3 linked regions of the Caenorhabditis elegans genome follow. The protein of the gene in region 2 interacts with the protein of the main gene of each other region in a biochemical or structural test. Each region holds a gene or a part of one and is shown on either strand. Other genes may lie near its edges.

Region 1 (10,162 bases), on a different chromosome or scaffold from region 2:
CGGCGATTGGATGTTCTTTTGTATAGGAGCAAGAATCAGCCATTGCTCTGTGTTTGCTGGGTCCGATTGATGCAGTAACATCTGCTGCATCGGTTAATCCAGCAGACCTATGAAATCTTGATTCTTTGTTCACAAAAGTATCTCCATGTGTTCTTTGATTAGGTTTTCCTCCAAACGGACAAACTGCGAAAACGTGAGTTGTTGCGTGATTCGTAGTAATTGCCAACCAACGGCAATCTTCGGAAAATGCTGTGGATACAACTTTTGCAGGGGTGCTACCGCGATTCAGCTTGTACAAATGTTGAACTGCGGCCAATGAAGATGATGTAGCATGTGGCATCAGAAGGAATATATTGAAAACGTTAGCATTCGCGTCGGCAGAAAGAACCAATCGTTGATCAGGTGAAAATGCAATATATGAAATAGGATCGACATGTGCTACATAGTGACACATAACGCCATCTGATTCATCTTCTCCGGAGACTGCCAGATTGAGAACAGTGATTACTCCTTGTGGCTGATTAGCCTTCGTAGAACTTCCCGATCCTGCACCAACTGATTCACTGATTGTCTTGACGCTACGACTGAAGTACTAAAACAAAAACGTTTTTAAGCATTGGTTAGAATCAGCAACTTACGCTCATTGCAGTATAAATATGATCGGTATACTTCTCACTACTTGTTGCCTCAACTTCAGCGGCAAGTCCTCCACTACTTTGCAGATTCAAGTCGAGCTGAAAATGAATGATAATTATTCTATCAAATGCGACTTTTAAAATAAATCAAAAGTATTAATTAAAATTTTAAAAACCTACACTAGTGTCAGCATATGCCAAAAGTTGGCAAGACAGGGAAAGTGCTGGCGGACTGTTTTCGCAGGATGGTGCAGTTCGAATGGTCCTAACTTCATTGAATGTTAGAATGTCATAGGCATACGCCATATTTGCAAGAGAGACGACCAAAAATTGATCTGACACATTAACAGCACAAACTGGCTCTTCGAACTTGATTTTATGAACTTCTCGTCCAGTTAACAATGAGATGATGGTGACCGAGCAGTACTGTCGATCAGGGTGATGAGAAGAAGCATCAACCATTGCAATAAGTGGACGGGAATCGGCGAATGAATCTTTCTTTCCACGGAGTTTAAGATTATTTGGAAGCACTTTCAAAGCTCTCACGGGTCCTTGTCTTTCTGATAGAACCTCTTCGAATTCGCCGCTTTGCTGAAATTCCATCTAATCACGGTAGGAATTTATGTTTATCAATTGATTTATGTATGATACAGAAACAGAAAAGTTTCCGTTCTATTTCACAATTAAATAAATATTTAGAAACTTACACTCATCGTCCAGATTTGATATCCTCGACATAATCCAACAATCAGCACTTCAAGCCTTTCATTCGGTTCTCCTGCTTTCTCCACAGATGTTAATTGCACCCATTCGGCCTTTTCAGCAGTTATTTGTGAACTTTGTGTCTGTCCCTTTGACATTCCCATCGCAACTAAATCAACCACTTGATTGGCGAGAGTTTGTTGTTCTACAGCAGATTGTCGAACGACTTGTCCCTTGATATAAGAAACTGAGTTGGTTCTTGGCTTTGTCATTATCGTATTCATTGACGGAATTGGTGGTGGTGCTGATCTCTGATGTGGTTTTCTTGGAGGTGCAGCTGGAGCATCGTCAAGTGACATATCGACAAGCATTTCTTCAGCTTGTAAAGAATCCTGTTCAACTGCTGTTTGGGACGGTGGGGATGTTGGAGGAGACGTTGTGGTCCTATTGACCACTGGAACGGCGTCCTCGTCTTCTTCCGGCGAATCCTTCACATTCTCAATTAAAAAATTATGACGGGTTATCGAGTGTTAATATTATAAAAAAATTTCAAAAAGTTTAAACGTCCTTGTTGAGAATTTAAATTTCAACCAGACTACCACATTTAGAGAGACGATTCTTTTTTCAGTTTTAAATTCTACAAAATTTTTCAAACATGAAATCAGAAACATACCGGTCTGCTACTCAAACTACTCTTATCCGAAGAGCTGAAATCCAAAAGATCCCCGCTAATGTTTTTTTCTTTTTCGATGGTCGGAGCCACCGTTTCTTCTACTTTTTCTTTGTCTTCTTCTCGATTCTTCTCTACTACTTCTTCTAAAACTTCTGGTTTTGGGTCCTTCTTGATGGGGTTTTCCTGGAAATTTATAAATTTTGAGATGGAAATGGTTTTATGGAAATTAGTCTCGCAAAGTTAATCAAAAGACGTAAATTGGTTTTATTTTTTGTTCACACTTCAAATTGAGAAAAAACAGCATATGGGAATAGATGATGTGTTATAATTAACATTGAACGTGTACACTCAAAATAATAAAACTGCGTGGCGTGTACTGCAGAAAACCTAATATTTAGGCCCCGCCTTTTAATCGTCCACTCACGGGGAAAAGACAAAAATAGGGGAGGGGGGGGGGGACAGCTCGCCACGCCAACAGTGAGAAAAATAGTGTGGTGCGCGGACCTCGAATGATGTCGGCGGCTGATATTGCCTGGGGTACGGCTTTTTGCGTTTTCCCCGTGAGTGGACGATTAAAAGGCGGGGTCTAAATATTAGGTTTTCTGCAGTACACGCCACGGAGTTTTATTATTTTGAGTGTATGTGTTAGGGTCAGTGGTCACCTGATGATGAAATGAAAGTCAAACCGATAGAGGAGTGCCAATCAAGTGGAGAAGAAAAGAAAGAAAATATTGGAAAATTTCATGAAATCGTGAGTGAGACGCAGACACTGTTATGGTGCTTTCACAATGTGTTGAAATTGTGCAAAACAGGTGGAAGAAATATTAATTTTTGACAAAAAAAGTAAAATATATTTGTGTATTTTTCAAATTTACCTAGATTCAAAAATCATTTGAAATGACGTATACCTAATATTTTTTATTTTGCGACGAGAAAAAACTAAAAGTTATCTTATGTTTGATACTATGTATACATTCGTATGCAGAAGCCAAAGATACGTTAACCGGCCTTGACACGACTCGTTGCTACGGAATTTTTTATCGAATTTGTAAGAAAAACTATAAAAAATTTATGTAAACTCCACACATCGAAAGTTTGGAATTACAGTACTATTTAAAGGCTCACATTCAACAAAAACTTGTCGTGTCCAGACCCAGTACCGTTTTTTGGCACGAATTTTCGCGTCTGGGTAGTACTATAAGAAAAACATTCGTTAGCGTTCCGAATCTATTAAGATTTTATCTATCTTTGAAAATAATTGCATAGTTTCGATGTTTGCAGCGCTTTAGAAAACGGAAAAATCCGTTAAACGGTTTTTTAAAGGAGATTTTTTGAAATTCGATTTTTTTAACTTTTAGTTTTGAAAAATCATTATGAAGTAACACTTTACCGGCTGTTCCTCTTCTGGTAGCGGTTGTGGCTGTGTTTGTTGATGTTGCTGTTGAGGGCGTTGATGATTCTTCTTGTTCTTCTTTTTCGGGCCCCCAACAGAGTTCGCGTTTGGCGGCATCTTCTTCGAACTGTGCAGATTATCGATTTGTTCAGAAAATGTGGTGAAGAACAGAACACAAACAGGAACAGATAGGATAGAACGAATGAGAAGAGAGGACAACAAAAAAAAGAGAAAAAATAATCAATAGGAAGATGTGAGAAGATAAAACAACAGAGATTTTGTTTTTCTCAAACTTTCAGGTAGATCAACGATCTATGAGTGTCTGATCCGACAAAGGTGCATTGTTACCAGTGACAGAAAAGCGGCAGAAGAATCGAAATCATGCCCTTCTCTTTCTCTCTTTTCACTTCTCACGTGTGCTAGACATGACATGGGGAGAAAACGACAGAAACTGCAGTTGGTCACGAGGGACTAGAGGGAACAGGCGACGCAGAGAAATGGAGGGAGTTGTGAGGAGGATGGAGAAGAAGGCTTCCATGAGCACCACACTTCTCGCATCTTTTTTGCTGATTTTTCTCACTCCAACTATTTTTCTTTTTTCTTATTTCTTATTGAACTTGACTAGACATCAATCGATTTTTTTAAATGCTCACTGCTCATTTTCTAACTAATGCTTCAATATATTTTCTGAACGAATTCATGGATGCAGAAGTACCAAAGTGTTCATATATTTCTAGCTAAATAATATATAACTTTTGAGTACTATAATAATCTCATATTTCAAAATGATTCATAAGTAAAAGTTTTATCAAAATATGCTAAATAAACTTCTTATAACTACGTTTTCATCTATTAAACTTTCACTTAATAAGATTTAATGCATCTTGTTCCCCATGTTTTTGCATCTGATCATAATTGCTGACAAATCGTGAACGAAGAACAGTGTATTTGTTATATTTACACATTTCAATCTCTCACCACCAACCAATTTCTCTGCCATCTTGGTCGAAAACAAAGTGACGAATTGGCGCATCATTCGATTATATGTGCCCCGTTTTTGACAAATAGTGAAAATTTCAGGGAAAAGAGAAACTTTAAGCTTTATCTTCTAAATAATGGTAGAAATATTTTCCTCAATGTAAAATTCAACTTTCAAAGCCCTCTAACCAAGTTAATCCTTTTCGCGCGCTCTTTTTCAATTCAATACTAATGAAGTTCTGAAAATTTGAACGTCCCCTTTTTTTTAATTTTAACAAGAAGAAAAAATGTAGAAAAACAGATTCAAAATCATTAAATTAGCGGATAAATTCAGAAAAAATGAGAACATGTAAAAGCGCTCCACCGGCCACCGTACCCTGCTGAATGCGGCATTTTCGCGGCGAGACCCGCCACTCTTTTCATTCGTTTTGACCCTGTCGCCTCCAAATATCTTTCGATTTTTGACATGTTTGCTGCTGTTTTTATCAACTTTTCGAGTAATCACGCGATTTAAAGACGTAATTATCAAACTTTCTTTCTAAATTTTCCGTATTTTCACGTTTGTTGATTGACATTATCTCAAAGAGGTAATTCTATTCGTATTGCAGATCTAATTGGGTTGTTTGAGCGATTTCTCGCAACAAATGGACGTAGAAAAGCTTAATCTGGACAATATCATCTCCAGATTATTGGAAGGTATGTGTTTGTCATAGTGTTTATTGAAATTAATCTTAAAATGATTTCCGCTTCAGTCAGAGGATCCAAACCAGGGAAAAATGTTCAACTCACAGAGAGCGAGATCAAGGGGTTGTGCCAGAAGTCTCGTGAAATTTTTCTGAGCCAACCTATTCTTCTCGAGTTGGAAGCTCCGTTGAAAATTTGCGGTAAGTTCTATCGAAAAAAGTTGACGTTTCCTGCTATGAGTCATTTTACTTATTAGTATTTCCTTCCACAGGAAATTGCCGTTTTTATTTTTGATAATATATATTCTGAGAAAATATATTTTTCAGGTGACGTGCACGGACAATACTACGATCTTTTGAGACTGTTCGAGTATGGTGGATTCCCCCCAGAGTCGAACTACTTGTTCCTCGGCGATTATGTGGACCGAGGGAAACAATCGTTGGAAACTATCTGTCTCCTACTTGCATATAAAATCAAGTACCCGGAAAATTTCTTCCTGCTCCGAGGAAACCACGAGTGTGCCTCGATCAACAGAATTTATGGCTTCTATGACGAGTGTAAGAGTTTGATCTGAGATTATCTTAGTACAGATTTATTCAAATCTCATGTTTTTAGGCAAGCGGCGATACAACATCAAACTGTGGAAGACGTTCACCGATTGCTTTAACTGCCTGCCAGTTGCCGCCATCATCGACGAAAAGATCTTCTGCTGTCACGGAGGACTTTCTCCAGATCTTCAGTCTATGGAGCAAATTCGTCGTATCATGAGGCCGACAGACGTACCAGATCAAGGATTGTTGTGCGATCTGTTGTGGTCAGATCCTGATAAAGTTCGTTTGTGAACATAAAATTCAATGAATGATTACCATTTATTTTCAGGATGTCACTGGCTGGGGAGAAAACGACCGAGGCGTCTCTTTCACTTTCGGACCAGAAGTTGTTGCCAAATTCCTGCACAAGCACGATTTGGATTTGATTTGCAGAGCTCACCAGGTATTACTTAAGATTTTCTGCAAAGTTGCGAACCGAGAAATTTTCAGGTTGTGGAAGACGGTTACGAATTCTTCGCTAAGCGGCAGTTGGTTACATTGTTCAGCGCTCCTAATTATTGTGGAGAGTTTGATAACGCGGGATCGATGATGACTGTCGATGAAACACTGATGTGCTCTTTCCAGGTAAACATAGCGGTACCATCTATATAATTTTAAATACTGATAATGCGTATGCATTCACCAATGATGCAATGGTTAAATCAGACGAGTCTATTTTGGCTATCTATTCGAGTTCTTCGAAGAAATTGCCGCTAAGCGGGGTGAAATTGAGGCATTTGTCTGAGGTGATTTATTAAACGCTAAAACTACCTATCAAACATTAAAATAAAACAATTCGGAATATTTTTTTCAGATCTTGAAACCAGCAGACAAGAAGAAATATCCATATGGTGCTGGAGGAGTTGGTTCAAATAGACCAGTCACCCCACCACGAAACGCACCGGCTGCGCAACCAAAGAAGGGTGCCAAGAAGTAATCATCAGTCGATTTATCTATCATCTGTAAATACCTAACCTTTTCTTTGTTGTTCACGCCCCAAGAGGCCTCGGCCATCTCTCGTAAATCGGCTTCAAAAAGTTGTGTACATTAATTTTGATTTTAAACATAGTTTCGAAAAAGTTTAAATTCGATTCATTATGATCTAGGCTGGCACGAGAAGATGCTGTGGTCCCGGCGAATCTCCTCTCAATTCAAGCTTTCGTTGTCAACATCCCTTCCTCTTTATCTCTGTGGACCATTTAGAGCTAATGACTCCTCACCAATTGCTGGCTCAATTTTTCATCAAAACAATCCCCATTTTATTCGTTTTTAAATTCCAAATTTTAATTTTTTTTGCTAAACTTATCTCTTAAAACAGTATCAAATTTTACTTCTCTAAATGGTCTAAATATTTAAAACAAATGTTTATGATGTCAATCAATCTCCACTCCTTTCCTTCCTCCATTCATTCGTCCATCCCGTACTCTTCGTTTCTCAATTTTATATTGTTAAAACCCCCATTTGTCGATTTAATTCATTAAAGTTTTCCGAACAAATAAAATAGAACACTGGTACAAGCGTGTAAGCAATATTTCTTATTACAACGAGTGCAACGTCTCCAAGGAGAGCGTGCGAGACGAACAGACATCCCCCACGACTAGTGCTCCTCGAGCCGTCTCATCGATTTCTGTCGTTTGTCAGTTATTCAGAAATGCTCCGCCCCGGCTCTTCAGTAAGCTATAATAGGTAATCAGAATGAAGAGAAATATTTTTTGAGTTTTTTCGATTGATTTTCCGTGTTTAGCTCAATGAATCAAGTTTCAATAGATGCACACCCGTCAGATCAGGCAATTATTGTACGATTTGAACAATCTCCTAGTAAGTTTTATATTTTTATTTTCAATTGAATGTGTTACGAAGATTATTTGGAAGTTTGATTCAGGTTCTTCAGCAGGAATTTCAATAAAAAAGCGAGCTTCTTCAGCGAACGTTGAGTCTCTTGGCCATCAAAAAATGTAAGAATCTGATATAAAATATAAAATTAAACTGGAATGCAAATCTGCTTAACAAGAAAAATAAAATAAAATATTTTTAAGACCGTATGCCCACGAAGGTGCACGTATTCTTTCGGATGGGTCTCACCGCGAAAAATGTTTATGGTAACACTTTAAATTTTTTCTGTTGCAAAAACCACAATCAAGATACAGAAAAGTTATTTAATAATTGCTCACAAAACCCCGAATAACAGAAAACGCACGACCGAAAATAGCAAAAAGTGTTGACTTGAGCATTTTGCTCGCTGTGAGACCCATTCCCCATGAATCCATGCCTCTTTAATTTTTAGAATATTGGAAAATAACTGATAAAAAATAATAATCGAATATATATATATATGAGAACCTCAAAATGTCACCTGCATCTAACATTGTACGGCTACAAAATTACCCAAATTGTATTACAGAATCCACTTGAAAGAAATGAGTCTGGATGTAGATATTCGTGCTTTATCAAATGTTATTCTTCAAAAATGTCTTTTCATTCCTGCCACGTCACGAAGTCAATTGGAGCAGGTTTTGTTCTACATTCAAAAAAGAGGAAATCAACGAATAAGTGCGAGATCAAGAAGTTCTTCGGCCGTTTCATTTGATCGAAGGCCTATTCATAGTCCTACAATTAGTGCAGAATTAGGGAAAATAGATGTACGTTTTATAAGAAAACATTTTGTAGATTACGTAAAGTTGAGGAGCATTTGGTTTTATTTTACAAATACGCATAGGCTATATCAAAATTGAAAACATTAATTGTTACATGTTCTAAAATGGAGCAGCTGAAACAAAACCAAGCTCGCTTGAGTGCTTTTGTATCCGGTAGTACCAATATTTTAGAATCTAAAAATTTATTTCGAAAATAATCTGATTAGTTTAAAATAATCTTTGAATGGTTTTCTATACATCATTCAACATTTATATAAAAACAGATTTCTTATTATGGTGAGAGCCTAAAACCAAATAGAACTTGAAAAACTACTTTTGAAATTAAAAATGTATCTTTCAGGAGTACATAGAATGCTTCTACGGTGAAACTTCTGTTGAGAAAAACAAAGGAGCCGTGGCACTTTATGAACTTTCAAAAAATCCTCAAAACCTCACACAGCTTGTGAACAATGGTAGGTAATTCTAGAAAAGCTTACCCGATGACCATAATTTTCGGACGTAATCTATGTATTAAAGTTAACGTTCAAATAACACTACATTTCAGAAACTCTTATGATGGCACTGGCAAGAGTATTCCGAGAAGACTGGAAGAAACACTTTGAAGTTGGAACCAATATTATGAACCTTTTTGTGAATATTTCCAAGTTTTCATGTTTACACGGAATTCTGCTTCATCACAAGGCATGCATGGTTTCTAAACGCCTTCACTTCACCTGAATTTCGTTTAAAAGCTAGATTTGCAGATTGGTACTTTATGTGTAAATGCAATGGAACATGAAACAAAACGGTACGATTTTTGGATTGCTGAGATGAAAAAGACGGATCAAGAGACATTGAGAAAACTAAAAACAGCCATTCGAAAACAGGCGATGCTATTGGCAGGTTTGTTGCAATTGTACATATTACATTGAAAATGGTTCAATTCCAGCATGTGTCACTTTTCTTACCAATCTAGCCACGGATATCAGTGTCGAATTGAAAATGGTCCGAAGAAATTTGGTGGCACTTCTTGTCAAGTGAGTTTAAAGGCGCAGTTAGTGAGGAAATTGTAAAATGCTGAAATATCATAGTAACACTTTTCACAGTTTTTTTTAATCTCTCCACCTTTAATAATTAACACCACATTCACTCATTTTACATTTCTAGATGCCTCCAAATGTCATCAGAATCTACAAGTTCACTAACAACTGCAACTATCAAGTTTCTTCTTAAATTAAGTATTTTTGATGAAAATAAGATTGTAATGGAACAAAATGGAACAATCGAAAAACTTTTGAAACTATTTCCAATTCAAGATCCAGAACTGCGAAAAGCAGTTATAATGCTTCTTTTCAATTTTTCATTTGACTCCAAAAATCTACCAAAAATGGTGAATGGAGGTCTTGTACCACATATGGCATCTCTATTGGACAGTGACACGAAGGCATTGAATATGATGTATTTATTAAGTTGTAATGATGATGCAAAAGCAATGTTAGCATACACCGATGCTATTAAATTGGTGAGTTGGGTCAATCAAAGGAGATAGTCGAAAAGTTACTATACATTAAAGATGGAAAAACGCAAGTGGAAAATTGTTAAAAACCAATCCTATACTAAAACTTTTCAAATTTTTTGATATTATTTTCAAGTTTGCATTCGAATAGTGGTTGTCGTTTGAGCTACTTTATTTGTGAATCAATTGTTTTTTTTGAAATTGTTTGAACATTATTGAAATAGCAATTCAGACAAAATCTACTTACCTCGGGTCTATGTTTTGTTAAACCTAAATATAACGCCACATAGCAAATAGTCACCGATTTTTCCAACGTTTGCTACGAGGATATGATTCATAAAAAAACATTTTTCCAGCT
Region 2 (9,190 bases):
TGGTAGAAATATTAAACGACCTGATGGAACTTTGGCAACTATCAAATGTGATGATCTGCACTTCTATTTTGTGGTTTGGAATTATTAATAGTTCATGAAGAGTTTTGATTTTTGTCTGCTAACTTCACAGTTTCTTGTAAATTTTGTTTTATGTCTCATTCAATTTGTTGTTTTAAATTACAATGTAATTGTTATAAGTTAATAAAATATTTTACATTTTTTTGAGTTTAAAATAAATTGCAACTTTTGATAAACTTTTATCATAGTTTTCTATTTGTTCTGTGTTGGCCTATTAAGACGAAGAGTTGTTTACGATAATTCAACACACATTTTTGTGATAAACCCTCCGGGTTCTGCAACAAACGTTTTTCTGTGTCTTCAATCTTTTTTCCACTTATTTGGTGTTTAAAAAATGAATGATCTGAACAACGGAACACCTCTTAGAATTGTCGAACTTGTGTCTGAGGTAGGCTAGGTTATAAATAGTTGTGTAAATTTTGTGAAATTATTCAATTTTTATTCAAAAAAAAAGAGTTGGAAATGTGTTCTCTTATAGAAAAGCCATGCCTACAAGGTAGGCTTAACATGTCCGGTTGAAGTTCATTAAATAAAATATAGCTTATTTCAGAATGATCATCCACCAGAAAGAGCAAATGATGAGTATGTGCAATTTGCTCAGATTTCTGTAGTCTCTGGAATTCAAGAAGAGCTCATCGAATTGGTAAAGAAAAAGTTATTGGAATCTATTGAACTTCAGCAATTCATTGTTGGTAGAGATATTGAATTTCAGGAAAAGTTAGTGATTGTGCCCATATAAAATACTTTATAACTATTTTCAGGTATATTGCATCACTGACAGATGGTTTGAGTCGATATAACAATCATAATGAATTGGAAGAAATTCGAAATGAGAAGCTAAGTTCAGAGGAAAGGCATTTTGAGTTGGAATCAGCAAGAAACAAATTAAACGGTCTAAGAATTCAAAACTCGAATTTTGGAAGAAGAGAGCAGAAAGTTTGCAGTTTTCTGAGTTCTGGGTTCGAGCAAGTTCGAATTTTAAGTTCAACTGCTGCTCATGATGAAATTCGCTACAAAGTGAATAATGCATCATGGATTTGTTCAATTAACAATTCTCTCGCTTTACAAAAGATTAAATTAATTTGTGAAAAATTTATCGAATTGAAAAAGAAAGTGGAAATAACGTTTTGGTCATCGGAGATTGTAACACTTCTAGAAAAACTTGATCAACAACAGAAGAATGTTGCATTTGGAATGATTATTGAAATTGTTAGTTTTTTTCTCACATTATAAAATAATTTTGATGGGGGAATTGTTAAAATCCAGTCCTTTAACCAAATATCATATTAAAACTATTGAAACAAATGTTTTCTTTTGAAATTTATTGGCAGTCAAAAATGGCAAGTACCAAGTTTTTGCCACTTTCGCCAGTTTTGGAACTCGACCAAAAATGGGTATTTTTCTTTGGTTATTTTATAGTTAACTTATTATTATCTGGACAAATTCATGCTATTCTACTTTTAAATATTACAATATTTTGCCAAAATAAACGAAGTACAAAATATGCGCTACTCGTGCTAGAGCTCGACTAGAACTAGAACCAACTTTTTTGTTCTATACTTTTATCTAGCTAGATATCTAATTGTTTGATATTTTTTCCCAGTTGAAATTGAAAACGCACTTTGAATCATTTATGAATCTTTTTATTTTCATTCCACCTCTACAATCATTTTTATTGCAGGCAACTTGGGAATATGAAAACTCAAACAATCGAAATTTACTAAAACTGATAAACGCTTTGCTTGATAACGATGAAACGAAGAAGGAAGTACTTGTGAATTGCGAAAATTTGTTTTCAGTCGAAACGCCACAAATTGAAAAATGCTTGGCAAATTTGAATATTCTTGTTGCCTTGCTTTTGAATATAAGTCTTGTGAGTCTGGTTCTGTAATGATTATTTTGAAAATACAATTGTAGGAAAATCGGATCTACAAAGAGAAGCTTGAGCAAAGTATTTGTCAATTAATTGCTCGAATTTTTGGGAATAGAAAGTTTAGATCAAGCCACATGATGTCGATTATTGAAGTGCTCGAAACTGTTGAACGAAAATTTGGTCGTTTTTCTGGAAAGTTTGATAACATGCTCTCACTTCTTGAATCGAGATCTCATATGCTTGAGAGGTAAGTACTTCAAAACGGACATATTTAATCTTAGTGATATATCTATTATCCTATTTGAATAGTATTTCTCTTGCTTTTTGAAATAAATACCTCATACCCAACCTGCAAATGAAATGAAGGAAAATCTTGAATTTAATTTTCAGATCAGAGCAACACCGGGTGATAAATTTGATAAGATCCCGTTCTTCACATTCTCCAATTCCTCCAGAAATATTGGCATCTGCATACTCATCTGGTGCAAGTATTCGGAATGTTACCGTAATTGAACACTCACAATCAGCACCAAACTATTTTCCGCATAGAACGAGAGATGAAATTAAACGAGAAGTTCAAATGGAATATGAAAGAAGATGGAGAATAGAAGAGGAAGAAAGATTAGAAGAAATACGAAGAAAAAAGGAAGAAGAAAGAAAAAAGAAAGAAGAAGAGGATGAAAAGAGGAGGAAAGCGGAGGAATCAGAAAGAGTTCGAAAGTTGAAGGAAGAAGAAAAAAGAAAAAGGGTTTTGGAAGAGGAGATGGAAATGAAAAGAAAAAATGAAGAGGCAAAAATTAAATTAGAAGCTGAAATGAGGGAGAAAGCGGAACAAGCTGAAATTAAAAGGCGTGAGGAAAAATCGAGAGCATTAAAAAAATTGCAAAAAGAAGAAACAAACAAAATGGAGCAGATGAACAATTGTACATTTCTCCAAAATGTTCCTCTCTTCAGACATCTACATCCATCAGGATCATATTCTGAACGAATGCTCGATGGAAAGGTTATTGGATTGTATTATTCCGGTTATTGGTGTCAACCATCTCGTGACTTTACACCAATTCTCGCACAATTCTATAGTCAAGTAGATAAGAATTTCGAGATATTATTTATTTCAAGCGACAGGAGTGAACAGGAGATGAATTATTATTTGCAAAGTTCTCATGGCGATTGGTTCCATTTGCCATTCGACTCACCAATAAGCAAGCATTTACAGCAGTTCAACACTAAAAATGCGATTCCAACATTGATAATAATAAAGCCAAACGGAACAGTTATTACTGTTGATGGACGAGATCAAGTGTCTAGTTTTCTCAACAACCCGCAAGCATTGGTTAATCACTGGAAGTCTGTATAATTTCTTTTTTTTTTGTATGTATTTATGTTTTTGGTTAATGTTGTACTTGTTAGTATAAAAATCATTTCATGATATTCGCCGATGATATCAAGCTACTTGGTGACAATGTCAGCGCTATTCAAAAATCAATCAATGTCGTGACCGATTGGTGCGCAAAATGGAAATTGAACCTTGCTGAAAACAAAACCAATGTTATCCACTTTGGAAAGCGGAATCCAAAAAATGAATATTATGCAAACGGAATGAAAGTCACCAAAAAGGACTCAGTGAAAGACCTTGGAATCTTCGTCGACGACAAGCTGAACTTCCAGAAGCACATAAACATCATTTCGAACTTAGCCCTTCTCAAATGCCGGCAGTTACTTCGATCCTTCCGCTCAACAAATGCCAGCCTTTACTTCAAATTGTACAATATCTATGTGCAGCCAATATTAAACTACGGATGTGAAATCTACAACCCGATCTCTAAAAATATGATTAAACAACTGGAGTTCCCACTGAAGTTTTTCTCGAGAAAAGTCTTCCAACGCTGCAATCTATCATACTCATCATATGAAAACCGTCTAGCTCAGATGAACCAAAAGTCAGTTCAACACCTGCGGATTCTTCAAATATTGAGGACCTATCACAACATCCTGTCTGGTGAATACCACTTTCCGAATGCCGCATCAACTGTGAGGAAGGCTCGCTCGCCCAGATATCCGTACATGATGTGCCCTTGTGGATCAATCAACGAAAGCTTCCTACTAGTCAATCTTCACCTATGGAACCGTATGTCCAAGTTACTTCCGGGGACAATGAGCCGTCAAATGTTTGCATCACGATTAAATTCTATCCCGTTTAATTATTTTTCCCACACAACTTGATCCCCTTAACTACTTTTGGTTTACAGGATCATTCAAATTATTCAAGTCTGTTTCTCCCGGTGATTATTCTATACTTTCTGTTTTGTTACGACGATTTGAATAAATATATATATATATATATATTCAATGCTTCGAGAGAATAAATGGGAATCTGAACGAGAAACTAAGATTTCTTATATCACATTAGTATATCACAATATTTAAAACTACATTATTTCTTGAAAAAATTATTCACAGCGTTTTTGAGTTTGAAGTTTTTCGATTAATGGTTAATTTCATGATTGACCAGAACACATCGTTTTATCAGAATCCTCAAAATCCTCATCGAAGTCGGAATCCTCGGATGTATCGGAATCCGAATCATATGGATCAAATGTTTCCTCTTTCTGCATTTTTTCATAATTTTCGTCCAATTCATTCACAGAACTCCCCCAATTTGCTTCATTATTACTGATCGAAGACACAGATTCCTGGAAAAATTCCAGACTTGACATATATTCTAAACAAGTTTTGTCAAATACCTGAGGTTGGTCTTCCTTGAAATCTTCGAACATCGTTCCGGTGGATTCTGCCAACTCATCGGGCACCCAGATCACTTTCTTGCACTCGTCCGTTTCACAATTCTCCATAGTTTCAACAGTAACCTATTAAATGTTAGCTTTGTAGGAAATATAAAATAAAATGAATCACCTGATACACATTGTTCTTTGCATTTCCTTTCAGCACCCACGAGATGTCTTGTCCGTCGTCTTTGCCAATTCCTGTTGCATAACGCTTGAACTCAAACAAGCTAAAAATTACCACTTTTTGAAATATTGGAACTTCTGAATGCTTACCTAAGCCGTTTATGGATTTTCAAGATCCACAATGGGCGAGGACGATCATTTTTCTTATGGCTCACCATTGTTGAATAAAGTCGAGGATCGAGTGAAACGGGAAATTGAGAAAGACAAAATGAAAAATAAATTTTCGCGCATCTTGGAGAGGTCAAAAATTCTAATTTTCGTCCTGACTTGCTCGTTTTAATAATTTCTATAATTTGAAAACAATTAATTTTTTACTAATTCAATGTATTATTTTTCTTTAGTTTTGCCTTTTAAAGCCGAGAAAATAAAGTCAACGTTTTTGCGAATAAAAAACAAAAAAAAAACAGGAATTTGTTTCTCAATGGGTTTCACCACGATTAGCCTTCGTCTGTGCAAAAAAACTACGGTAGTTGGAAAAAGTTTTTCGACATTTTATTTTACTGGATCCAGCTGGAGTTTTCAACCACTTTTTACGGGATTTTTGATTTGTTTCTCGTTTTTAAAAACTATCGTTTGAACAGTTTATGAATCTGCTTTCTAATTTCTAATTTTGAGCTTTTTATTCAGATGGCTTCACGTGTTAACATCGTTCAAGTCCAAATTCTCGATAATCCAGCGATGTTTGTCGACAAGTTCAAAATGGAGATCACTTTTGAAGTTTTTGAGCACTTACCACATGGTATGTATATTATTTACACTGCATAAAAATTAAGAATAATCAGATCTCGAATGGGAATTGGTGTACGTTGGATCTGGAACCTCCCGAGACTTCGACCAAGTTCTCGATTCCGCGCTCGTTGGCCCGATTCCTGAAGGACGTCACAAGTTTGTCTTTGATGCAGAACACCCGGATATCTCAAAGATTCCAGTCGAGGATATTGTTGGTGTCAGTGTGCTTCTCCTTCGTTGCAAGTACAACGATCAGGAGTTCATCAATATGGGATGGTTTGTGGCAAATGAGTACACCGACGAAGAGCTCAAAGAGAATCCGCCTGCAAAGCCGCTCATCGAAAAGGTTCTGTTCTTTTCAGGAAAAAAACACTTTATTTCAAAAGTCATTCACACAAAATTATTTTTGATAAATCAAGCACCAGTTATTGTCTAATGACAGTCCATTCCTGATCGTCAGAACGGTTTTCGTCGAGTCCAATAAAGCCCTCCACCTTACTTCCAACGAAGACGATTGCTCCGGCAATTATAAAACTTGCATAAACAATTCCTCCGATAGCTTTGTCGAAAATGTATGTAGCGCCTCTGTAGTTGCTATTTTTGGTCGCTACACTAGCATGAGTTGAATTATTTTGCGCTGCAGTAGCTTTCATTTTCACAATCTGAAGGAAATAAATAAATATTATTAAACGAGCAATGAAACTAATGAAATAATTAAAAATAAAGAACGAAAAATAGTTGAGAGTGAGACAATGACAATGAGAGAACTGAATACGTTGTGCACGCTACCTGTCGAGCAGATGGACATCATCGATCGGGCTCACGCACACAGATGTACTGTATGGGATGACGTAATAAACCATCTGTTGTGGAAAGAGGGAAAAAGTGAAATGCTCTAAATTAATCTCAAAGTTCCTTCAGTTAAAAAATGTAGATAATTCAGTTTTGACCTTGAATTTTCAAAAATTTTCAGCTTTCCCGTAAAATCGAAACCGAAGATCTTCGCGTCACCACATTCCCAATTCGGTGGACTGATGAGGATCCAGTCGCCGAGCCGGTTGATGAAGAGGCAAACAAAGTATTCGATGAGGATGATCTTATGCCATTGCATGATGATGGGCAGGATGATGACGAGGAGGAAGAGGTGGGTAGAATCTAGCATTATCTGAATATAATAATTTACTGTTATTCAGGACGATGATGAGACGGGTCCCAATACTGAAGAAGTTGACTTGAACGAGAGCTTCAACGAACGAATGGCGAATGCACATGACGGAACGGAGCAAAAGAACGGAGAAGAAAGTATGGAACACGATGGAGCAAGTGGAGATGTTGAAATGGGTGGTAAGTGATACTTTCAATCATAAGTTAGATTGATTTTAATTATTTTTTGTTTTGTCTGTATCTCCCTATGATTGTAGATAATCAACTTTTTGTTCAGATAAACACTGATACGAAAGCTACCGAATCGATGGTCGATCCCCTTTCCGATACAACAAAACGCGATTTCAGATCTGGTTAATTTGTATTTAAATATTGCTTTCTTAACTTGCATTTTTATTCATCTCCGATACTCACTATCAGTTACTGTAAGATTTTTGAATTGCATCTAAAATTACTTCACTTTTTATTCAAAGTGTCATATATGTCAAATTGCCTTTAAAGGAGATTTTAGTTTTCTGAAATGAAGTTGCTTTCCGTTCGTTTTAATCTGTGGATATGTATCATTTTTGAGGAGTGTTTTCGGCTGGCTTTGTTTCCGCCCCTGGAAGTTGAAGGATAGATAATTCTAAAGAAGCTTAATTGACAAAATTTATGAAAATGAATATTCAAAAACACGACAGACAACAAAATAACCGGTCCGAGATAATCAATAAAACAAGTACTTGGGAAAATAATTGGGGAGATGGACTATAAACTACAATTAAAGTTTGATGAATCAATATGTTAGACATTAAAAATATATTATCGCCATGATGTGAAAGATGTCGGTTTATTGGCATTGGCAGATGCTCCTCCTCCAAACACAGAAGATGTCGGAGCTGGAGTTGTGTTAGCTCCACCACCGAAGATAGAAGTATTCGTCTGTGGAGTTGCACCTCCACCGAACAAAGATGAAGTCTTCTGGCCTGATGCAAATTGAGCAAATCCACCAGTGGCAGGGTTGTTGGTTGTGGAAGATGTTGCTCCTCCGAAGATTGAAGCATTTTTAGATAATCCTGCATTCGCCCCTCCTCCGAATGGTTTAGCACCAAATGCTGGTTGCGATCCGAATTTCGGAGCTCCTCCAAAAACTGACGACGTTCCTGTTGCAGGTGCAGATGCTTGTTGAGCTGACGATCCGGCAGTGTTGAAAGAAAACGACGGCTGAAATAGGAAATAAATGCTTACAATACAATGAGACTCTTGAAACGATACTTTTTGCTGTTGCTGTTGTTGTTGATTACCACCACCACCAAAAAGCCATGAACTGCTACTGGCTGATGTCCCAGTTGACGTCTTCGGTGCAAACGGATTATTTCCACCAGAAGTGTTGGATGTTCTCGCATTTCCAAGTCCACTCATAAAACCTCCAGAACCTCCACCATTTGCCATTGAATCGTCTTCCATTCCATCATCCACATTTGGAACTGTAGGCGCAGTCACTGAACCTCCGAAAACGGAGGATGGTTTAGCAGAGGCGCCTGCACCGAAAGATCCAAACCCTGCCGGCTTTGCTGATGCCGACGTTGCTCCAGTATTAAACGAAAAAGTCACAGAAGCAGTAGATGTTGCAGGGTTCGAAGTTTTAGCCGGTTGGCAACCAGCCTGTCCAAAACTTCCAAATGGAGAGCTTGCTGCTTTTGAGCCACCTCCAAAAATACTTGACGTGTTCGATGCAGGTGTAGGGGTGGCCGTTGTTGTGGTTCGAGCTCCAAAAATATTTGTTGAGTTGGAAGAGCTGGGAGTTTGAGTTTTAAGACCACCGCCAAAGATCGATGAGGTGGAGGAAGTCGACTTTGGGGTAGTTGTTGAGTTGAACGCTGAAAGTAATTTTTTTAAATTTCAGTTGATTAAAGTATGGAAACAATACATTTATAATGTTCATATAATTACATCGATTTAATCGAATATCATTCTTTGGTTGAAACTCATTTTTTTAACAACAAAAAAGGAACTTACAAAAACTTGGTGTTTTTTGTATATTACTTCCCGTTTCCTCTTCTTTCACTGGAGTCTGAACAGCTGGTTTTGGCTCCTCTTTCACTTTTGTTTCTAATGATTTAGGCTCTTCAGACTTCAAGTCAGGTGTAACTTCATTTTCAGATTTTTCATCTTTTACTTCTTCAGTTTTATTCAGTGTCTCCACTTTCGAGGATGCTTTTTCGATTTCTTGTGGACTGATGCTCAGGGAACTGTTAATCAAAGAAGGCACTCCAGTTGTTAATGTAGACTCTTCTTTGGAAACTAAAGGTGTTTGTGTTTTTGTTCCAAACAAACTACCCGAAGAGAAAATGGAAGATGATGCTGGCGTAGAAATGATTGGTTTTTGATCTTGTGT
Region 3 (11,940 bases), on a different chromosome or scaffold from region 2:
AGTATCATATTTCTTCAGAAAATGATCAGAAACTTTTTATGGTGAATGAATGAAAATTTTAGGTATTGGTTTAACAAAATATATATATATTGGTTTCATTTTTTTCACTCCACTTACTTGATGGGTTTACAATTGGTTTGTTTTCATTGTTAGAAATAATTGTGAAAGCATTAAATTCGAGATTTGTTCTATGATATATAGTCTGTCAGACATTTCCTTATTAGATACAGGTGGGCGTTAATTATTTCTTGGTATTTATCAAATTTAGTTCCAAAGTTGATAAACCCGGTGGGCGAATTTCAAAGCACTTGGGTATTGTAGTTGTACACTTAAAATGTTTGTAATTCTTTGTTTCAATCAAAACATGATCATTTATGGCATCATTATTTTTATTTGGAGACTTAGAAAAAATCAAGTCTAAGCCTGAAATTTCATTTTGTGTTTAAATGGAAATTAAATATATTTTCAACAAAAAAACAATATGACCACAAGTGACAAACCAACTTTAAATCTTACATTTTGTATAAATGTTTCCGTTTTAATTGGCCTATTCTATGATTCATAGTTGACGGTGGCGTGTTCAATGAGTTCAAAAGATGAAGTATGTTTTGTTACTTACCTTTTCTTATTTCAATATTTTTAAACAAAAAAGACAAGTGAAATCGATACGTGTCTCCGATGCTCTTGATCTTTATCCCTTTTTCAACACAAAACACACGTCTTTCTATTCATTGTTACACAAAACATTGACTTATATGACCTGTGTCTTTTGATTGTGTATTCTGGTCCTGAAGTGTTTTGAAATTTAAAATAAACGTCTGTTATGCTTACTATTAGGTATTCTGAAGCCGTCACATTGTACTCTCTTTCTCTCTGTTTCTGTGGATTCATTTTTCTTTTTTAGTCTTGGTCATCTGGAAGAATAAGAAACAGAACGTTTCTTCGTAATTCGATTAGGAGGAAGTGGTCGGAGAATGACTTGAATCATTCCGAATGTTGCCGCTGGTGATGTGAAAGATGTATATTTCTCTAAATCTCGTCAATTGTTCTGACCTTATTGCTATACTATCGCTTCGTTCCGACACTTTCCCATCGTTTATTGGGAAATTTCACATCGAATACAGACGAGACAGTCAGTTCATAACGAATTCACTGTTATTTCCCATTTTAAACTCCCGAGATGTTTGTTTATGCCTTTATAATAACGATTCATTCGAAAAGAGCCAAAAATGTTAAATTAAAAATTTCTTGGAATATGGTGATTGAATATTATATAGAATTTTTATTTAAAAAACTGATACTCCTCCCACTCACGAACTCTTTTGGACAGCTGATTCAATGTTCTTCAAAAACTTGCTGAGTTTTCACTTTTTGCTCACGAATATCTAAAAATTAAGCTAAGCTAGCTGAAAATCATCAACTGATAAAAAACATACAATTACCGTACTTGTCTTTGAAGGCTTCTGTTCTATCTCGTAGTTACTGAGTCGACTCAGCGCTATTTGAAAGCAGATAGCAAATAAATAACGAATGATTCTAGCCATAGACTTTTTCGATACATATTTTCAATGTGATCTTATTAATTGCGGCTACAGTATGTTGAATAACTAAATCACATTCTGTTTTCATTACATATTTCATTAGAAGCATGTACCTAAACTTTTTTATACGAAAAATCTTAATTGCATCTGTATGCTCATATATAGTAACATTTGATTGAATCAGTCTTTATTTTCCAGCACAAGGCGTTCCTTCGAGCCCAAAGAAACGGTTTTTCTTCCCGGTCTCTGCGCCTTGTCATCTTCGTTTTTCTTCCTATTTTTCGCCCTCTCAAAAACTTGCGGTTACTTGTTTAGTCAACAACTTTTTTTGCTTCTGCTTCTGCGCGATTCAATAAATTGAATTCGAGACCCTCATCTCAACGTGAGCATCTCGTTGCCCCGTCCGTCCCTGCTTTCCTCCTCTTTTTTCATTTCCTTTCGGTCTTATTTTGCCTTCTCTCGATCTTTTTCACATGTGCTTACGTTTTCTTTCACCTCAATCAAAGCTCGAACATGATACTAAATTTTCGTGAGAAAAGTTTTTGACTAATAATTGTTTTTAGCTGTTTATTTGAAAGCGTAATTCCGAAATTTTCACAAATCTCCAAAAAAGGAGCCTAGTACGGTGGTTTTTTGTGTGCAATTGTGCGTCAACTTGTGAACAGTGTTTGCGGACTTTCAAAATAATTTTTGTCCTATTGCATTTTTTGAATGTTTTTCATCGCTTTTTTCGTTTATGAAACTGTTTATGTTACGAAATCAAGTAGTTTTATTCTTTTTTAAATAATTTTCGTTTGATATAACTATTTTCCGTAATGTCATAGAGGCTTAAGGTGATTTGAATGACTTCTTGGGGTATTTATTCCAGAATTTATTTATTTCGATTGAATAGAAAAGAAGTTGGTTTAAAATATGAATAACATGTGTTATCATTTAGTTTATATTGTTAACATTATATTAGTCATCGAAAAGTTTTACACCGCGCAATGAAAAGAAAAATAATTACGAAATTTTATGGCTCGTAAATAGTTCTTTTTGTAACATTTTGTTGGCAGAAACATACAATTTGTCATAATTTTATGCTTAATAATAAAAAATTGTTTATTAAGTGTTGTTTGAAAAAAGTCTGGAATGTCGTATATCTTTACCGCACAGGAAGTGTTTGCCTTTCTCAATCTTTTCTTTCTCGTCGTCGTTTCCTCTTTTCGAAACGTTCTGCGTGCAAATCAAATACTTGTACATCTCGTTTTGCCCATTTGTTCTAGAGAAGAGAAAGAAAGAGCACCTCAAGCTTCTCTAGCCGTTTTTTATTGTTGTTTTTTCTCACAAGAATAAGCGTTACCCTTTTCAAAAGATAACAGACTATGCGCAAAGTGTGATAAGAAAACCTTCTCGGAAGTTGTCGCCGTTTTTGATTCCATGACGTCTTACACGATGTCAGTAGTGTCGAACCAATATCGCACGTGCCACCGGAGGTAGTGCAATAACATTGCGAATTGTTTCGGCGAAAGAATGGAAACGACGGTGGCGAGTTATCGATCAATACTGCGGGCAGTGGCCGGTGGATCGGCGCGCGTTCGTCTCTCGCTCCACTCGTACACTCACACATAGGGACAGGCACATACACATGCGTCTCAGTCCGTCGTCACTTTTCGCTCCTCTTTTTATACGCGGCATTTCATCCCGATCTCCTCATTTTCCTCCACTATTGATGAACCTACTTTGCTTGACTACAGCCACACATGTTTCTCTTTGAAAGCTTCTGTTTTCTCTCTATCATATCTTCACCATTTCCTTTTTCTAGTGCTGTAAAGTTATCCGCCTGCTGTGACGACGGTGTCGTGTTTATGACATGTTCCTCCTCGGGGTCGTTGATAACGGCAAAGAGAAGGAACGGGCGTCGTCTCGTTACCGTTTTCCGATAAAACTATATAGGTGTATAACTTGAAATTGGCCAGAAAAAAAAAGAGTATTAGAGTAGCTTCGATTTGCCTCAAGGTGCATAAAGCGGTGATTCACGTTTCGAATTTGAGAGACGCAGGTGTTTAAGTGAATATGGTCTCAGTTTGCTCCCCAATTCTTTTTGTTGTCTTTTGCTACCACAGGACGAAGGAATTTCTCTTAGTACACCAACAAACTTTTTTCTTCAAGGCATCAGTTGCTCGTTTTCTATTTTCAATGTTTAGAAACAGTATAGCACAAATTTCACATAATTCAGTTTTTTTGTTTGTTTTCACGACACGCGTTTGTTGCCTTTTCAAATTCAAAATTTGCATATCGATTGTTAAAAACCATGTGTTCTTTCTTTCTCAAACATTTTAATATTGTGTCCATCACGTCATCGAGTTTCCGATTGAAACAAATCACTTTAAGGTTTTTATTCTTCAAAAATATAATCCAATCAGGAAATTTGAAAACTATATTATATTCGCATTACAATTTCTTGATAAAATTCTCATTTTTGCATTTTTCCTCTTGGAATTGTAATGATACGCATCACATCCTACTGCTGTTGTTTTTTGATGCTTTTTAAGCTTAGTCTTATCAATTTTCTCACGTTTTCCTTGAAGTTTTTTTTAAATTCTCACGCCAACGTTACTAATTTTTTATCTTTCAGCCACAACCAATATCAGTTGTCGGCCAAAAACATTGCAAGAACATACATCACTTGCCATCCATCAAAAGTGACCAACAGAAGCCGCGGAGATTGCAGCTGCAAAAACAATGTCGAACGATGGAGATTTAAACATTGACAATCTGATCACCAGACTTCTTGAAGGTGGGTTTTAAAGTTAATAGAGAAATTGATCTAATATCGACATTCGAACTAAACCAGCTGTATAGTTGTTCAGAAATTTTATTGAATTTTATTTGTTTGAAATTCCGACTAGAAATTCCAAATATTCTGGTTTTGAGGAATTTTGTTTAATATAGCAATTATCATTATTTATTATGGTTGGCAACTATTTATTTCAATAATTTCTGTCATTTTTCCACTTTCCGATTTTTACGGTCGTAAAAAATTTAATTAATATTTAAAATTTTACTAATTCTCTTTAAAGCTTATTTTAAGTGACTAATTTGATTTTTCAATAAAATTATTTTTCAGTTCGCGGATGTCGTCCAGGAAAGCCAGTTACCATGTCGGAGGCGGAGATCCGTGCTCTTTGTCATAAATCTCGTGAGATCTTCCTATCACAGCCAATTCTTCTGGAACTCGAAGCACCTCTCAAGATTTGTGGTGAGTTTTTTTATTATTCAAAAACCGTTTTTGTGTCTGCAATGTAAGAGACGACTAGAGAATATGGTCAATAGTCTTCGATTATTTATAAATTCTGTCTAAAAATTCAAAGATAGTTCAATTATTTAGTAAAAACATCACTGAACGTATGTGATTATTGGAAAAAAAGTCCGAATGTCATTGAAAAGTTTCGCAGCATACAATTTAGAATGTTAATTTCTCTAAAAGTTCAATATGAATGAGAAATATTTAATTTTAGGAGACATACATGGACAATATAACGACTTGCTCCGTTTATTCGAATACGGAGGATTCCCACCAGAGGCCAATTACTTGTTCCTCGGAGATTATGTCGATCGTGGAAAGCAGAGCTTGGAAACAATTTGCTTGTTGCTCGCATACAAAGTCAAATATCCAGAAAACTTTTTCCTTCTTCGTGGAAACCACGAATGTGCTTCAATTAACCGTATTTATGGATTCTACGATGAATGTAAGGTTTTTTTTTGCTTTAAAGAAAATTCGAAATATTAATTGAGATATTACGTGTCCATGATTTGATGAAAACTGCGGAGACGCCTGCGTCTCTCTTCTCCACACGCTCTCTCGCCATAGGCGTTTTGCATAGGCGTTAGATAGCATGCGAGAAAAAGAGACGCAGGTGCTTTTTGCGCTTAAGATATGGCGATTTTTCTCACCCGCACATGGATACGTAATAACAAATTATTCCAAAACAAAATATTCGCTTTTTTTTAAATTTTCATACGCCCGTTCACATCAAGTAGAAACTTTCTCCGGATGACAAAAAGATTCTTAATAACCATGCATCGGTTGTGTATATTTTAATTTATATTTCAACGAAAAATTCCATTAAATTCTGGGTTATTAAAATTTGTCCAGTTCAATCAGCAAATTTCGATAGTTAAAAAAGGAAAATTATGTCAATTATTTTTTCAAAATAACAGAATAATTACAATTTTCAATCAATGTAAAAATTTGGAGAACAATAGCTACTGAATTCTTTGAAAAAATCAGTATATTTTGAAGATTTTCTTATTTCTCTTTTTTTCAGATTCTTATACTCAAATTTTCATCAAATATCAAAAAAAAACGACCAGGTCCTCAAATTTTAATTTAATAATTTTTAGAAGTAAAAATTGCTGGAATTGTTATTGAAAAGTCTTTAAACCAAATAATTTTCAGGTAAGAGACGTTTTTCGATCAAATTGTGGAAAACTTTCACCGATTGCTTCAACTGTCTTCCAATTGCTGCACTCATTGATGAGAAGATCTTCTGCTGTCACGGAGGACTCTCCCCAGATCTCCAAAATATGGAACAAATTCGCCGTGTGATGCGACCAACCGATGTTCCTGATACTGGATTGTTGTGCGATTTGCTCTGGTCTGATCCAGACAAGGATGTTACCGGATGGGGAGAAAATGATAGAGGAGTCTCGTTCACATTTGGACCTGATGTCGTTGCAAAGTTTTTGAACAGACATGATTTGGATCTGATATGCAGAGCTCATCAGGTCGTCGAAGATGGATATGAGTTCTTTGCTAAGCGACAACTTGTCACACTATTCTCTGCTCCAAATTATTGTGGAGAATTCGATAACGCTGGTGGAATGATGAGCGTTGATGAGACATTAATGTGCAGTTTCCAGGTAAGAATATTTCTGTTATGTATTCGAAGGCCGAACAAGGAGAGAAGACGAGTAGTTTATTACATTACTAAACTAAGGAATAAATAAGTTAGTTCATAGAGTTCACGTTATACGATCTTCTTAGCCACGTCGTGGGTCAATACACGTTCCAACAATTTCATTCTTTTTCCAAATATTCCAGATCCCCGAAATGGAATAAATTCAAACAAGATGGAAAATCAGAAACCAATTTTCTAAATGTGTTTACAATTGATTTTTAAATTAGGGGTCGGGCATCCTTGGTCAAGAGGAACCGATTTCGAAAAATTGAAACCTCGTGAGATTGAAAATCGAATTTATGTAAAAGTTCCTGCTCTTCAAATTTAATTTTGGCTGGGAACTCATTGAACATTCGCATCACATCAAGAAATAATCTAGCATGAGATGAACCTTTTTAGAGAAAAACGGCACCGGCATATTTACAAATTCGTATTAAAATGATCGAGAAAATTAGAATGCTAGTGGCTGTGTATTTCACGTGAAAAAAACTATCAAATTCTTTAATTTTGAATATATTTCACAAAATCTCGTGAAATTTGTATCAAAAATCAATAATTTTTCGTAAATCTTAGAAATCTCAGGAACCGAAAATGAGCTGTATTAGTATTTCACCTTCCATCTTCTTTCTTTTCCATATCAAAATATGAGAGAAAAAGTACCATCAAACGGTACTTCTTTATTAAAATCCTACATTTCGGAAAAAATTTAAAATGTTTAAATATATAATGTTGATAATTGTTCAGTTAGTGACAATTTGTTCTTTTCCCGAAAAAACAATCTAACTCAAGTAGTTGCATCCCATGTTACGTCAAAACTCTTTTTCTTCCAATATCCTCTTGAACCTATCGGGAAATAATGACCAAACTGAACCATCAGTGATTATTAGATAATTTTATACTCAAAAAGCTTATAGAATTAATTTTGATCGGATAAGACTGAAATTGTTTTTTTTCAAATAAATTAGAAAAATTTGATTCATTATTTATTTTACAGATTCTGAAACCATCGGAGAAAAAAGCGAAATATCAGTATCAAGGAATGAACAGTGGACGACCAGCAGTGGGCGGAGGACGGCCTGGAACGACTGCTGGTAAGAAGTAAAGTGATGAGGAGAAAGAACATTTTTGCCTACATTTTTACTCATTTCTCTCGGATTTTTACTTTTCTGTCCGTTTTTTTTGAATTTCCCTTCTCTTTTATCTCAAACATTTTATTATTTTCTCGCCCTCAATACACCCCACCCCGCACAAAAACGAGTTTTAAATGCTCTTCATTATTATTTTCTTTTCTGATTTTCTATTTTTGTGCAACTGTACTCGATCGAATATAATTTAATTTTTCTGGCGAGTACAGATTGCAAATCTTTCTCTCTCTCCTTCTGTGTTCTCCATTTTTAGCTAAATTTTCTCATATATTTTTTTTCTGATTGCCTCTCTTTTTCCATTTGCTCTTATCCTGTTTTATTCTTAGTTGTGAGCCTAACACACCGGGATCAAAATCCTTCCGATTTAAAGTTGCAGCTTATTTATTCTTACAATGTTAATCACACAAACATTCTGAAAGTACGAGAGCGAATTCGTTCTTATTTTTTAGAATATTGAATTCTGATCCGCCCCAACAACACGCACACTGATAATTTTCTATGGTTTTTATTCGAAAATAGTGAATTTTTCTCGACAGCTCCCCCCGTTCCTTTTTCTCGCCCCCATTTCCTTCTTTCTTTCCTCCAACTGATTCCAATGAATATTTTTTCCAAAAGGTTTCTCTTGCGCAAGAACCAGTCACTCAAATTTTGTGTGTGTGTGTTTGGTCAAAGTATTTATAAAACACATACTGTCTTCAGGCAAAAAAATAATGGAAAAAGTATGAATCACATTGTTTGGAATGAGTACAAGAATAGAAATAAAATGTTCGTTGGATGGAAAAAGAATAAAGAGAAGGAATCCTGCCAAGGGAAACCAATTACTTCTGAAACATTAAATCAAGATCAGGGAAATTTAATATTTCAGAAATAACTGCAACACATAATCCTTTAAACTGGGCAATTATTTTTTAAAAATTCTATTTGGTAGTTTTCAGAATGGATTTCGTCGCCAAAATAATGTTATTTATAAACCATTCGACTCAATAATACGATACCTGGACCCGGCACGACTGTAATATTTTTTAATGATTTCTGTGAAAAGCAGTGTGCGTCTTTCAAGAGTACAGTAGTTTACACTTCTGACTGCTGCACAATGTTTTCAATTTTTCGCTTTATTTTCTTTTGAAAGTTCCTTATTTTCAGAAATTTAAAGTATGCATGTGAAAAAAACTATTTTACAGAAAAATGTGAAGGAATCTTAAGATGTGAAAAATCGAAGAAAATTGCATTCTACAGCAGAACGGAATGGACGCCACTGTAATCATTAAAGGCGCAGTCTTTTTTCTCGCAGCTTTTATTAAAACATTTTTTCGTGACGAGACCGGGTACCGTATCCCAGCGTCATTACAATTTTCACATCTGGGAATATTGTGTTGTTCTTTATTAAGGAAAAGTTAACAAAAAACACTTTTGTTGTGATTTTGCGAATTAAATGAGGTCCCGTGTGCGCCTTTAATGAATACTGTAATATCAAACTCTTGTTGCTTCGGAATTTTCATAGATTGTTCATAGTGTTTCACACGATTTTTTAACATTCATATGCTTTGTTTTTCGTTTTCTTGATTAAATTTTTCTTCAAACAATGAATGATTAATGAAAATTCCGAAGCAATAGCTTGAAATTACAGTAATTATTAAAGGCACACGCCTTTTCGCATTTAACGAACGTTTGTCGTGTCGAGACCGGGGACCTTATTTTTTAGATCGCAAAATCTTGCCGTGTAATAAAATCCTCGCATTCCAATTTCAAAATGCTCAAAGTTCTTAATATGTGTGTGGTTTGAACTCATAGTTTGCTCTACAGTGCCGTAATACGAGACGGAGCACACAGGTTAAGACGTGTTTGAGCAGCATTTCACAGTTTGTCGCAAAAACTTCGAACAGTTTTTTGCCCGTTTCGCAGACAACTTTGAGAGTTTACGAGAGTATTTCACAAGTAAATACATTATTTCCTTCAATTGTTGCCACTCGGTCTCATTGACTGTGTTTCACATTATTTGCAATTGAAAATGTTCCAGTTGTTTAAAGCTCCGCCCATTGCAGTTCGCTTAGATAGAGAAAAACAGAGAGGAATCATCAGACGACAAGATTATTGCTTTTTTGGTGGGTTTTTTCAAATGTATAATTCAGCCTATAAAAGGTAAACTTCATTTTAACCAAGATGGTTTTAAATTTTACTTTAGCTCTAGTAAACATGGTTTTTTAAATGTTATTTTTTCCTTTAGTTAAGTTGTGATTGGACGTAAATTATGAGTGATTCCATAGTTAAAACATTCAATAGGATGGGTCTCGCCGTGATAAAAATTTATGGTAGAATTTTTTACATTTATTATGCATTCTTAATTAATTTGTATTTATTACTTAAAGACTTGTTAATAGTGACAAATATCTGTAAAATTCACCAATGAATCCCGGTTTTCAAAATTTAAATTTCTAAAATCAATAGTTTTTCCTTCTCAACTCTCGAGGAAAAATTTGTCTCTAAAGCATCTAAAAACAAAATGATATCATGTATTTGCACAGGTATGCTCAATTCGTCCATGATTGAACAACAATTACCGTATCTTATGAGTTTTCCAATCCAGATACTTATTTATTTTGAGCGATATAATTTGGTCATAACTCAATCATTCCATTTGGTATTTACCAATGGATATTTGAAATACCAGTAAGCTCTCATCTCTCAACCAACCGCATTGTCTTGTCAATAGTCCACTTCTCGCTGTTCTTTTTCATTTCACCCGCCTCCACTTTACCCTCTCAATAATACGTCATTTTCCCTCATCTTTTTCACGTACATTCTCATTTGGCAGATTTTGAGAAATTAAAATAAATTTTTATCTTTTTGCATCTTTTTCTCTATTCTTTAGCCATTTTTACCTTATTCCCATTTTCTCATTAAAAAAAAACCGGTGTCAGCTGACCGGTCTGCCAACCGAATTTTTAGAAAATTCCGTCAAAATTTTTGTGTTTCTCTGACAACCGAACGAGGCAAAAAAAGAAGAGGAGATGACATCTTGTTGAAACCCGTTTGGAGTTGGAAAAAAAATTGGACGAGTAATGGGAAAAATGACCAGAAAAGACGACCGTACAAGAAGATGAAGAATTGAATTTCGAGATGAACGAAGGAAATCGTGAGATATTTTGTAGAAAAATGAAATATTCACTGGGAAATAGAAGAAAAGTATAAAATTTCAGAAAAAATTTGATTTGAATAAAATTTGATTTTAGGTTCAAAAGTCAACCCCTCCCACCTAATAAAAGTTCAATATTTGAGAATATTCATCTCTGAACAACATAGTCTTCATGGCAAAATCATCAGACATTAGGGCTCTCGGACATTAGAAATACTTGATTTCTCAATGACACACACTTAAATTTCGTAGTAAATCAAACCTAAAATTTTAAATTCGTCAGAATTTTTTTTGAAACATGTAAAACATAGTTATTTAAAAGTGCTAAAAAGTGACTAGCGCGTCAAGCGCGCTAGGCTTCGCAGTAGATTAAGTTGGTAAACTGGGGAAAATTTGGATCTTTTTTAACCAAAATTGACTGAGCCATGGCCATTTGAAGATAATATTTTTTCTGGGTCTTTTTTAAGTGTATTCGGGCCTGCGGCACTCATCCTGATTTATTGGGCTCAGAATAGGCTTAATGGCTGTCCAATACTTTTATGTATTCGGGCCTGCGGCCCTCAATCCGGATTACCTGACCATTCCAAAAACAGACGTAGTTATGGAAACATACGTCTCATAGAAGGCCTCCAGCCTGCTCTGCTGGGAGTAGGGATAGAAAAGGTCTAAAGTTTCTAAGAGTAAAAAGGATTTTTTGGGTTTGAGTGAAAAACAATAGCATTGCAGGCCTCCAGCCTGCCCTGCTGGAAGTGAGGTTTAAAGTGACCAAAATGTCCGAGAAGTGCGGTCCTCAATAGGATTAGAGAAAAAGTAAAAATCTTGAAAAATCTTTAAAATTAAATTCTCCTCACGTTATAAAAATAAGAAATGAAAATTATCGAATTCATCCCCAAAAATAGAGAGTGGTAGGAAAGTTTTTCACGTTTAATCCATCTTTTTAATTTTGCAAAATTTGAATGATGGCCTACATTTTGGAAAGTTGGTCAATTTTTTTCAAAATAGTTTCAAAAAATTGGTAATTCGAAGTTCTCTCTTGTGCTCAAATTGGAACCAAATGTCAGAAAAACTGCTCGTATGGTATTGAAAAATATAAAACTCTTCAGTGCAAAGAAAATATTCAATTTTCGCGGTCTCCAGAAACCCGCGCAAATCAGTGTTCTACCCTTCCCAAAATTAAT

Evidence for each region.
Region 1: the proteins of lab-1 (region 2) and gsp-2 interact in far-western blotting, tested with the Caenorhabditis elegans proteins (one study listed by BioGRID).
Region 3: the proteins of lab-1 (region 2) and gsp-1 interact in far-western blotting, tested with the Caenorhabditis elegans proteins (one study listed by BioGRID).

Annotation. Positions count from the first base shown.
Region 1 is NC_003281.10:7,331,598-7,341,759, forward strand, and holds gsp-2 (Serine/threonine-protein phosphatase PP1-beta), read left to right. Parts: upstream 1-4,989; 5' UTR 4,990-5,025; coding exon 5,026-5,077; intron 5,078-5,133; coding exon 5,134-5,265; intron 5,266-5,391; coding exon 5,392-5,622; intron 5,623-5,680; coding exon 5,681-5,895; intron 5,896-5,944; coding exon 5,945-6,058; intron 6,059-6,105; coding exon 6,106-6,240; intron 6,241-6,294; exon of another isoform or gene 6,295-6,405; intron 6,406-6,469; coding exon 6,470-6,592; 3' UTR 6,593-7,168; downstream 7,169-10,162. Other genes in the region: F56C9.10 (BCAS3 WD40 domain-containing protein), read right to left, coding at 1-592, 639-734, 816-1,238, 1,343-1,834, 2,011-2,193, 3,401-3,520; kap-1 (Kinesin-associated protein), read left to right, coding at 7,404-7,473, 7,538-7,610, 8,057-8,294, 8,650-8,761, 8,854-8,999, 9,053-9,191, 9,238-9,325, 9,456-9,810 and 1 more. UniProt on the Caenorhabditis elegans protein: Serine/threonine-protein phosphatase essential for chromosomal dynamics during meiosis and mitosis. During meiosis, promotes chromosomal cohesion and germline immortality via a small RNA-mediated genome silencing pathway.
Region 2 is NC_003279.8:9,652,727-9,661,916, forward strand, and holds lab-1 (Long arms of the bivalent protein 1), read right to left. Parts: upstream 5,298-9,190; 5' UTR 5,079-5,297; coding exon 5,011-5,078; intron 4,965-5,010; coding exon 4,865-4,964; intron 4,819-4,864; coding exon 4,696-4,818; intron 4,645-4,695; coding exon 4,450-4,644; 3' UTR 4,286-4,449; downstream 1-4,285. Other genes in the region: T05F1.13 (F-box domain-containing protein), read left to right, coding at 1-88; T05F1.11 (protein-disulfide reductase), read left to right, coding at 413-466, 629-795, 840-1,287, 1,760-1,951, 1,996-2,198, 2,342-3,308; asfl-1 (putative histone chaperone asf-1-like protein), read left to right, coding at 5,548-5,659, 5,703-5,995, 6,623-6,793, 6,843-6,993, 7,091-7,101; C03D6.9 (Aa_trans domain-containing protein), read right to left, coding at 6,075-6,302; npp-14 (Nuclear pore complex protein 14), read right to left, coding at 7,615-8,016, 8,068-8,672, 8,812-9,190. UniProt on the Caenorhabditis elegans protein: Involved in sister chromatid cohesion during mitosis and meiosis.
Region 3 is NC_003283.11:10,678,264-10,690,203, forward strand, and holds gsp-1 (Serine/threonine-protein phosphatase PP1-alpha), read left to right. Parts: upstream 1-4,158; 5' UTR 4,159-4,265; coding exon 4,266-4,320; intron 4,321-4,650; coding exon 4,651-4,782; intron 4,783-5,041; coding exon 5,042-5,272; intron 5,273-5,982; coding exon 5,983-6,446; intron 6,447-7,478; coding exon 7,479-7,586; 3' UTR 7,587-8,242; downstream 8,243-11,940. Other genes in the region: F29F11.20 (uncharacterized protein), read left to right, coding at 9,638-9,731, 10,152-10,300. UniProt on the Caenorhabditis elegans protein: Serine/threonine-protein phosphatase which antagonizes the function of air-2 in the regulation of chromosome cohesion. Dephosphorylates histone H3 at 'Ser-10'. Dephosphorylates translation initiation factor eIF2alpha.